Linked DNA regions of Nothobranchius furzeri. The protein of the gene in region 1 purifies or fractionates together with the protein of each later gene. This does not show direct contact. Links are inferred from orthologs where the notes say so. Each region holds a gene or a part of one and is shown on either strand. Other genes may lie near its edges.

Evidence for each region.
Region 2: the proteins of otud6b (region 1) and otub1b fractionate together in Homo sapiens (co-fractionation; 4 studies listed by BioGRID and IntAct, with this or other methods). This does not show direct contact. The link is inferred for Nothobranchius furzeri from reciprocal best matches to the Homo sapiens genes OTUD6B and OTUB1.

What each region holds. Positions count from the first base shown.
Region 1 is NC_091759.1:19,537,493-19,542,094, reverse strand, and holds the start of otud6b (deubiquitinase OTUD6B), read left to right. Parts: upstream 1-1,759; 5' UTR 1,760-1,908; coding exon 1,909-1,975; intron 1,976-2,553; coding exon 2,554-2,702; intron 2,703-2,777; coding exon 2,778-2,876; intron 2,877-2,984; coding exon 2,985-3,185; intron 3,186-3,846; coding exon 3,847-3,967; intron 3,968-4,076; coding exon 4,077-4,138; intron 4,139-4,223; coding exon 4,224-4,330; intron 4,331-4,602.
Region 2 is NC_091743.1:88,837,861-88,842,228, reverse strand, and holds the start of otub1b (ubiquitin thioesterase OTUB1b), read left to right. Parts: upstream 1-1,387; 5' UTR 1,388-1,616; coding exon 1,617-1,659; intron 1,660-4,063; coding exon 4,064-4,125; intron 4,126-4,368. UniProt on the Homo sapiens protein: Hydrolase that can specifically remove 'Lys-48'-linked conjugated ubiquitin from proteins and plays an important regulatory role at the level of protein turnover by preventing degradation.

The DNA.
Region 1 (4,602 bases):
TATATATATATATATATATATATATATATATATATATATATATATATATATATATAAATCCCTTTTTGTTACTCAGTGGAGAAGAATCGGTGTCATGGTAGCAATTAAATTAACTACAGGAGCAAAAAGGACAAAAGAGTAATTTTTAAAAGATTCAAAATACTTAAAGCTTGAAAAATGAGATTATTGCATATACAAATTTAGAAACACATTTATATTGGTAACATTTCTAAACAACTAATATATTTTGTTGCTTGCAATTTTATTTTTATTTTTAAGTTTGTATTCTGTACCAAAGCTCTAATTGTTAGAAAGGAAAGAACGAAAACATTTTATGTAGTTTTCATGATAAAAATCACGAGGCGCTTCACAAAAACAAACCCAAATAAATTAAAGTTTAAAAGAGATTTCAAAAAATGATCAAAAAATGAGAAAAATTAAACTTGTGATTTATAAAAATGTAAGAAAAGGGAGAGAGGCAAATCAGTGGATCCCGGGAAAGGCGGAATAAGAGCAGAATAAGGAAAGTGTGGTGATGAAGATCACACCGAAGCCTGAACAGGTGAGTCTTCAGCGGTCTTTTAAAGGAGACCACTGAGTCCACTGATCTCAGGCTCGGGGGGTAGAGGTCCAGAGTCTGGGGGCCACAGCAGCAGATGATTTTTCACCTTTGGTCTTTAGCCTGGTGCTGCACAACCAGTAGGCTTTGATCACTGGACCTCAGGGACCTGCTGGGGGTGTAGGGACTGAGAAGATCGTCAATGTAGGATGGTGCTTGTCCATGTAAGGCCCTATAGACCAGAACCAGGATCTTGAAATGAACCCTGAAGCTGACTGGCAGCCAGTGAAGCTGGAGGAGAAGCGGGGTGATGTGGGTGTGTTTGGAGGACTTGGTCAGAAGCCGAGCACAGGCGTTCTGAACCACCTGTAGACGGTTCAGGGAGGTTCTGCTCAGACACGTGAAAAGAGAGTTACAGTAGTCTAAGCGTGAGGAGATGAAGGTGTGGAGAACTGTCTCAAGTTCAGAGCGGGACAGAATGGGACTCAGCTTAGCAACGTTCCTGAGATGGAAGAAGGAAGAGCGAACAAGAGAACTGACATGAGAATCCAGGGTGAGAGCTGGGTCAAAGGTCACACCAAGATTCCTGGGAGATGGTTTGGTGTGAGAAGCAAGCTGACCAAGAGAGTCTCTGACTTTGGGAACCAGCTTGTCTGGGGCACAGATGCAGATCTCAGTCTTATCTTCATTCAGCTGAAGAAAGCTCCCACCATCCAGGTTTTGATAGTCTAAGCAGGTGTGTAACAGCTGCAGCTTAGACATCTCATTGGGCTTAAAGGAGATGTACAGTTGGATGTCATCTGCGAAAAGATGGTGGGAGAGTCCTTTAAAGGAGCTCAGTACAGAACCTTGTGGGACACCATGGGCGAGGAAGGTAGAGGAGGACCTAAACTTGGAGACGGCCACAGAGAAGGAACGTTCAGCCAGATGAGTGCTTTGTCCTCTGTACATCATAGTGGAAAAAACACTTAGCTTTCATAACTTTTATGTATTCAAAATATTTAACTGCACAATATTGGAGTGTTGAGGACAACAAATAATTAATAAAAATGTGGAATGTTTTATTTTATGTCCACAGAAAAGCATTGTTTCAAGGAGAAATTGCAGCATTCACGGGCTTATACAGAAACACTCCACCGGGTGGCGCTGTCGCCTTTAGCTTTAAACAAGCAAAGAAGAACTCTTCTTCTACTAGTTTATTTACTTTTCATCTCCCTGAAGGCTATCGCATGTTTTTATACATTCTGCGCTTGTTTTGAGCCTGAAATTTGAGGATTTTACAAAAGTGACGCACATTTTTATTTATGCAGTTTATGAAAATTAACTGAAGCGCGTGAACAACCAAAGTTATGGAGGGGGAGGCACCGGAGGAGCTCCTGATGAAGCAGCACCGCAAAGAGAAGAAGGACCTCCAAGGTTAGCAACGTTTACCTGCTTTTAATCTGAGTTTACCTCATTTACATCCTCTGTCCGGAGCATTTAGCCCTCCACGAGCGCGCGTCACCAATTAGACCAGTTGATATTTAGACTTGGATAGCGGAATAACAATAAAAGTAACACACATAACCAAAAATCAGCTAGAAAAGTAAAAATTATGCTAATCGTAATTAGGAAAAGAAAACTACGAAATAAATGCTGAAAACTGAAATGATCACTTTGCAAAATAAACAAAAAAAAAGACAAAAACGCATTTATAATCAAATGGTCAATTATTTTAAACGATGATATAATTAACACGTGCTTAGAAAATGCAAGTAGATCTGCCCAGCAGGAAGACGAACAAAAGGACTCAAATTTACCATATCTTGAGATGTTTTAATGATTCATTCACACAGATTTGCAACTGCAGGCATGTACCAATGTTTTTATTTGATAATTTTGCTGTTTATTGACACCGATCTGATTTTAATCTGCACCTTCCTCTTTGACAACGTTGCATATCTAACCGTGTGTGTCGTTTTCTCACGCTTCACATGTTTGTGTTTTGTTTTCAGCTAAAATCCAGAGTATGAAGAATGCGGTGCCCAAAAACGACAAGAAGAGAAGGAAGCAGCTGACCGAGGAGATCGGGAAACTGGAAGCCGACCTGAATCGGAAACACGAGGAGGAAATCAGGCAGCTCAGATCTACAGCTGACTCGAAGGTGATCGCTGCAGCGGGATAGAAAATGTGCCTTTACTCTGACTGAGTTTCAGACTTCTTCTAACAATCCTGTCAGGTGGAGGAGGTGGCAAACGGGGTGGAGACCATGAAGGTGGAAGGTGGAGGAGAGGAAGAGGTGAAGCAGCCGCGAGTCACTAAAGCTCAGAAACGGAGGGTGAGAAGTCTAATTCACTAGAAACTTTCCATTTTTGATATGTAAAAGTGGCATTTAGTGGATTAAATAGCGATTATTATCGGTTGTTGTTTTGTTGATGCCTTCCAGGACAAGAAGTCTGCCCAGGAGAAGGAACGCGAGAGCAGGATAGCAGAGGCAGAGGTGGAGAACCTGCAGGGCATGAGGCACCAGGAGGGATTGAAACTGGCTCAAAAATTGGCCCAAAAAAAGCTTCAGATCAAGGAGATTTCCTCCGACGGTCACTGCATGTACCGCGCCATCGAAGATCAGCGGGCTCGCCACGCTCAGGTGACCATCTGCACCAATTTTGTTTCAACCCTGCTTCAACACACCTGATTTCAGTCAGCAGGTGATTAGCAGGCTTCTGCAGAGCCTGATGAGCTGCTGCACAGGTGACTCAACCACTGAATCAGAAATGTTGGCGCAAAGACATGCAGGATACCTGACAGTCATGTTTTTGCACCGTGGGAGGAAGCCGGAGTACCCGGAGAGAGCCCACGCATGCACAGGGAGAACACGCAACCCCAGGTTGGGGTGTGAACCCATGCCCTCCTTCTCAGCTCTAACCACTGCACCACTGTGCAGCCCCGTTTGCACAAATACTGTCTGGAATTGCGACAGAGAGAAAACTTTATGTACGGGGCAGCAGTAGCTCAGGTGGTAGAGTGGGTTGCCTCGTGATGGTTCGATTCCAGCTCCCGCCAGGGGTATTCTGCTGCTGTGTCCTTGGGCAAGACACTTCACAGACCTTGCCTGTGTTAGTGGTGGTCAGAGGGGCCGACGGCGTCAAATGGCAGCCTCGCCTCTGTCAGACATCCCCAGGTCGGCTGTGGCTACAAAGTAGCTTACCATCACTGGCAGTGTGTGAAAGCGTCTTCGAGTGTCCTGAAAAGCGCTTTGTAAGTTCAACACATTATTATTTAGTTTGTGTTTCCCTCCTCTGGTTTAGTCAGGATTGAGCATGACGGTGAAGGAGCTCCGTTCCAGAACAGCTGAGCATATGAGGGAGAATGTCGACGACTTCCTGCCGTTCCTCACTAATCCCGACACCGGTGACGTGCTTACAGCAGGTCAGATCAAATCTGTCGTTACTGGTGTGTGTGTGTGTGTGTGTGAGTGTGTGTGTGTGTGTGTGTGTGTGTGTGTGCACGTTTACTTTTGGATTCTCTTTGCATTCAGATGAGTTTGAGAAGTACTGCAGTGACGTGGAGCACACCGCTGCTTGGGGTGGGCAGCTGGAGGTGAGTTTCTCTGTTGTTTTTTTTATTTGTTTACTGTTTTTTTTCTCTCCCTTCATTCTTAATAATTAGATTTTTCTCTCTTCAGCTTCGAGCTCTGACCCAGGTTCTACACTCACCAATAGAAGTGATCCAGTCTGACTCCCCGACTATAAGGATCGGGGAAGAATTTGACGGAGAACTCATCACTCTGATGTAGGATTGTTTAGAAAGTGTCAATCCACTATTCTTTTACTTCGTATCTAAAGAACAAACACGTTTTATTGCAGAAATTCGCTGCAAGTTTTGAGTCTACAAATATAATCTTTTATGCAAAAGCTCTGCGATAATCTTTTCTAACCTGCTAACGGTGGCGACACATTCCAGCAGCGAGTTTGTCCGCCGGCTACGTTTGAAACGTGATAGCATCTTGGCTATCACACCGGTTGTACAGCAGGTGCTGACAGACACGTTTTCAACATAAATAC
Region 2 (4,368 bases), on another chromosome or scaffold:
CTGAACTGGAAGCAGTTACCTCTTGATTTCAGCCATTCAGTTCAACTTCATGCATTTAATCAGAGGTGCCATTACTGGATTTTTGGTAGGTCTGATCTATTATTGTGGTGTGCTGTGTCACAGCCTGGTGGCGTGTGTTTTTATTGCCCCGTGTCGTTAGCCAGATGGAAGAAGTTTGAAGAGATGGTTAGCAGGGTGGGTTGAGTCCTTTAGGATGTTTGTGGTTTTTCGAAGGCAGCGAGAGGTGAAGATGTCATCCAGGGCAGGCAGGTGTGTTATTTTCTCTAGTTTTGATTAATCTCTGCAGGGCCTTCCTGTCAGCTGCAGAGCTGCTGCTGTACCACACCAGGATGCTGTTAATCAGCACACTCAGTGATTAACAGCAGCAGTGATGAAATGACACCAGTACTTTTTATGGCAGGTTGGTCTTCCTGAGGGCCCTCAGGAAGTATAGCCGTTTTTGTGCCTTCTTTATCAGACAGTTGGTGTTGTGTGTCCATGTGAGGTCCTCTGATTTGTTTGTGCCCAGGAACATGAACTGTGAGATCCTCTTCACACACTCTCCATTTATTGTGAGTCACTGGTGCTCCACCTTTTTTCCGTCTTGGGTCAATGATGCTTTCTTTGGTTATGTTGGTGTTCAGGGTCAGGTTGTTAGCTGTACACCAGTCCTCCAGCTGCTGCACTTCTTCCCTGCATGCTGACTCATTTCCATGGCTGTGTGTGTAGATGAGTGAGGACATTAATAAGGATGTTTCATGTCTCGTACAACTTCTGCTCCTGTTGGGGAAGTTTCACATACATAAAAGGCAATGGTAAATTTCACAAAGAACTAATTACATACATCACTACAATTAGTACTCTTGAAAATAAAAAAAGCTATTAAAACTATGTGCATTATGGACAAACTTAATATGACATTTGATTAATATGCTCTCTGGTTTTTTGTATTCTTTTTGTCATTCTTTCTGTGTTATTCTTGTGTTTTACCATAATTTTATAGATACTTTGTATCTTGTTCCATGTTTAGCTTGTATTGAAATATCTTGAACATTAATTTTTTTTTAAAATAATAATAAAATTAAAAAACTGGGTAATTGATTCAATTGCACAATTTCACAGATAATTTATATATTTTTCTCAGATATTTTCTGTTGGGTTGAAGGAGAATGGCAAAACAAAACCCGACCAGAAAGGCTACAATAACGGATAAAGCATCTTTGGTCATAGGGGACGTGCTCTTGGCTGACTTCTACTCTTAAGTCTTAAAACATGATTTTTAAACAATGTTTGTGCATCATAATACAGAGAAACATAAACCTTTCCATTTGTACTTTATTTAATATGAAAAACCTTGTGGTAAACCTGTGGGACGCAAAGAACACCAAATTCAGAGAATCACCCTTTTGTATATTTCAAACAATCATTTTTCAGGCAACACTTTACCAACTTTAACAACAATAACGGTCTTTCTGCTTTATTCACGAAAACCGACGCCCTCGTTGCTTTACTCGACTGTTGATCGAATAATTGGATTTTATTTGTTGTGTTTTCCGCTCGGAAGTGTGTAACGTCTGAGGTCACGAGGGAGGAGGAAGCAGATCTGCACAGCTAAGATGGCGGAGGAACAGCAGGAATCATCACAGGGAGAGGTGGAAGGTAACGAAATGATTTGAACCATCCAATATTCTCTCACCTGCGCTGTCATTTCCCTGTCAGGTGAAGCCCACGTTTATGTTAGTCCGCAGCCCGCTTTAATCCACCCCTCTCCGAGTTTAAGGTGGCTGACATTCCACCTTAAGGGCCAGAACTGCTTAGCTAACGCTAGCAAGCAGCCGCTGCAACACAAAGAAAAACGACGGTTGTTAAGTGATTAACAGAGAAATAAAACATGACAGTTACGCGGTTTTATACTTAAATTAATATCAGATGTATGAGCTCAGTGTTAAGGCAGAATATATAAGCTTAATTTATCTTTGGAGAACAGTGACGTTTTTTTGCGTTCAAAATACGTTTTGTTTTCGATGCTAGCCAAGATTAGCTGCGGTGTTCTGGACTGGATCAACTTGTATTCATGTTCTTTCATGGTCACTGGGGTAGAAGAATTTCTCAATCTAAGAAAATGAAGTTCTTAATTCCCCCTTTCATTGCTTCATTAACTCAGCTATCGGTTTTCAGAGAATTTGTTCCAGAATGACGAAACTATGCGTCGTTTCAAACATCAGATTCATTGTCGTGTGTACCAGAGACAATGTCACATATTACAATTGATTTAACATGTCGTGCATTGTCCTGATACCTGAGACATGGTCTGTGTGGACTCATGAAAGTGACAGAGTTGTAGTCGAGTGTAAAACTTTATAAAACAGAACACAATAAAATTGGATGTTATACCAATTTAATGAATCAGGTGCAACTTTGTGTCTCTAACTGAATAATCATTAATCAGCATTAGTTAAAAAAGACTGTGTGCATTGCGGGTTCAGATTCATTTATAATAAAAGTAACTTAGTGATAGGATAATATATTGGGTCAATATTTACAATTTTTTTATATTAGCTTTGGCCGATAAATTTCTTCAGTAGAGCCGATTTAATTTAATTAATTATATATATATATATATATATATATATATATATATATATATATATCACACAGTTTATAAAACTACAAGAAGCACCATCACACAAGTTGTCCAGAGACACTACAATATAAAAATACACACTGTTGTATGATATTGGAGTTTGCTTTAGTTCATTTGTAGTTTATAATACATTTGGTCCCTTTGTGAAGTTTGTTACTGTTATGGCAGCGAGACCACGTTAGAATGAACCCAGTCCTGAAATAGTTGCACGGTCAAATGTTAAGGGGAAATCTTCTGGTTCTGTAACCAGTTTAAACCTGTCTAACCTTTTCATCAAACACAAATTTTAATATTTTTTTTAGTTTAACAAGTTTAGTAACACTGAAAGGGTTTGTTTCTCTTTATTATTACACATATTTGATCTGTTGTGCAAACCCAGTCAGTTGGTTCCTATAAAACATTTTTTAAATAGAAACTTACATTAAAGGGGCATTATGGAAGTGTGACAGTCAAAACATGTATAGAAATAATAAATGTCTTCTTCATACATTCTCCTGCAATGCCCTGGTCCTGTAGAATGAGCCCTGGCATTTTTACTGTGATTGCCTGTTTTTCTGTAAAATCACAGAAAAAGAGAGATGCTCGGGTCGAGCAGGCTGCTTCATGCGCGTTCACGCTCAGGCATCGCCCTCCGAACCGTTCTTTGAACGTTGTTTCAGCTGTCATCAAGGATATAAATGTTACAGACGCAGTAGACACCACTGGCGATTTAGCTCGCCTAGCAAATTTTTGGACTTTTGTGCAGAAGACCCGGTTCGATTCTCGACGTGAACATGGTTGTTTCAGAATTTCGTTTTTACAATGATATATTTTTTTACAGTAAAATGCCCAAATTTTTATCTGAGACTCGCCGAACGGCATTGAATTCACAGATGAAAAAAGATGTGGGTTCAACTTTCATTTTGGAACAATTTTTCAAGTAAAGGAATGGAATGATCTGAGCATGCAGGAGGACTGACCTTTGTTGGCTGTGCTGAAGAGAAAAGTACAGAACCAAATTATTTAATTAATTAGCTGCACGTTCTCCTGTCCTCCGACACACACACACACACACACACACACACAGCTTCACAGAGCTTCGTCTCAGCTGTTATTTTCGTTAAGGAGTGTGCACGTACAGCATGCGCACCTCGTACACGAGCCTACTATTGAAGCTGCCATTACGCTTTTGGCCAGAGGGGGCAATCACGAGCATAAAAATTCAAAACTCCCTAAAGTCCCTTTAACTACAAATATCCACAACAAACAAGTAAAGCATGGCTAACTGTTACCTTCTTGTGTTTAATAACAACAAAATGAATAAATCATGGTTTTGATGTTACAGGGGTGAAATGTGTCATCCACATCCCATAAGAAATGTCTTTGTTTCACCAATACAGAGCGGTTATTTAAAACCTTACACATATGTGTTTTTCCCAGGAGTGAACTGCCTTGCATATGATGAGGCCATCATTGCTCAACAGGACAGGATTCAGCAGGAGGTCAGGCACCTTTTCTCTTTTTGGCAAGGTCACATCTCATTGTACAACTGATACAGAGGTCAGAGGACCCAGACCAAAAGCAGCAAAGATTGTTATTTATGAGCATTTTTCATTCAAGGCAACTTGAGCTGAAATATAATGTTAATAATTAATATAAAACTTGACTTTTCCAGAGAGACCTGAATAAAATCAACTTTGTATTTTCTGACACACACACACACACACACACACACACACACACAC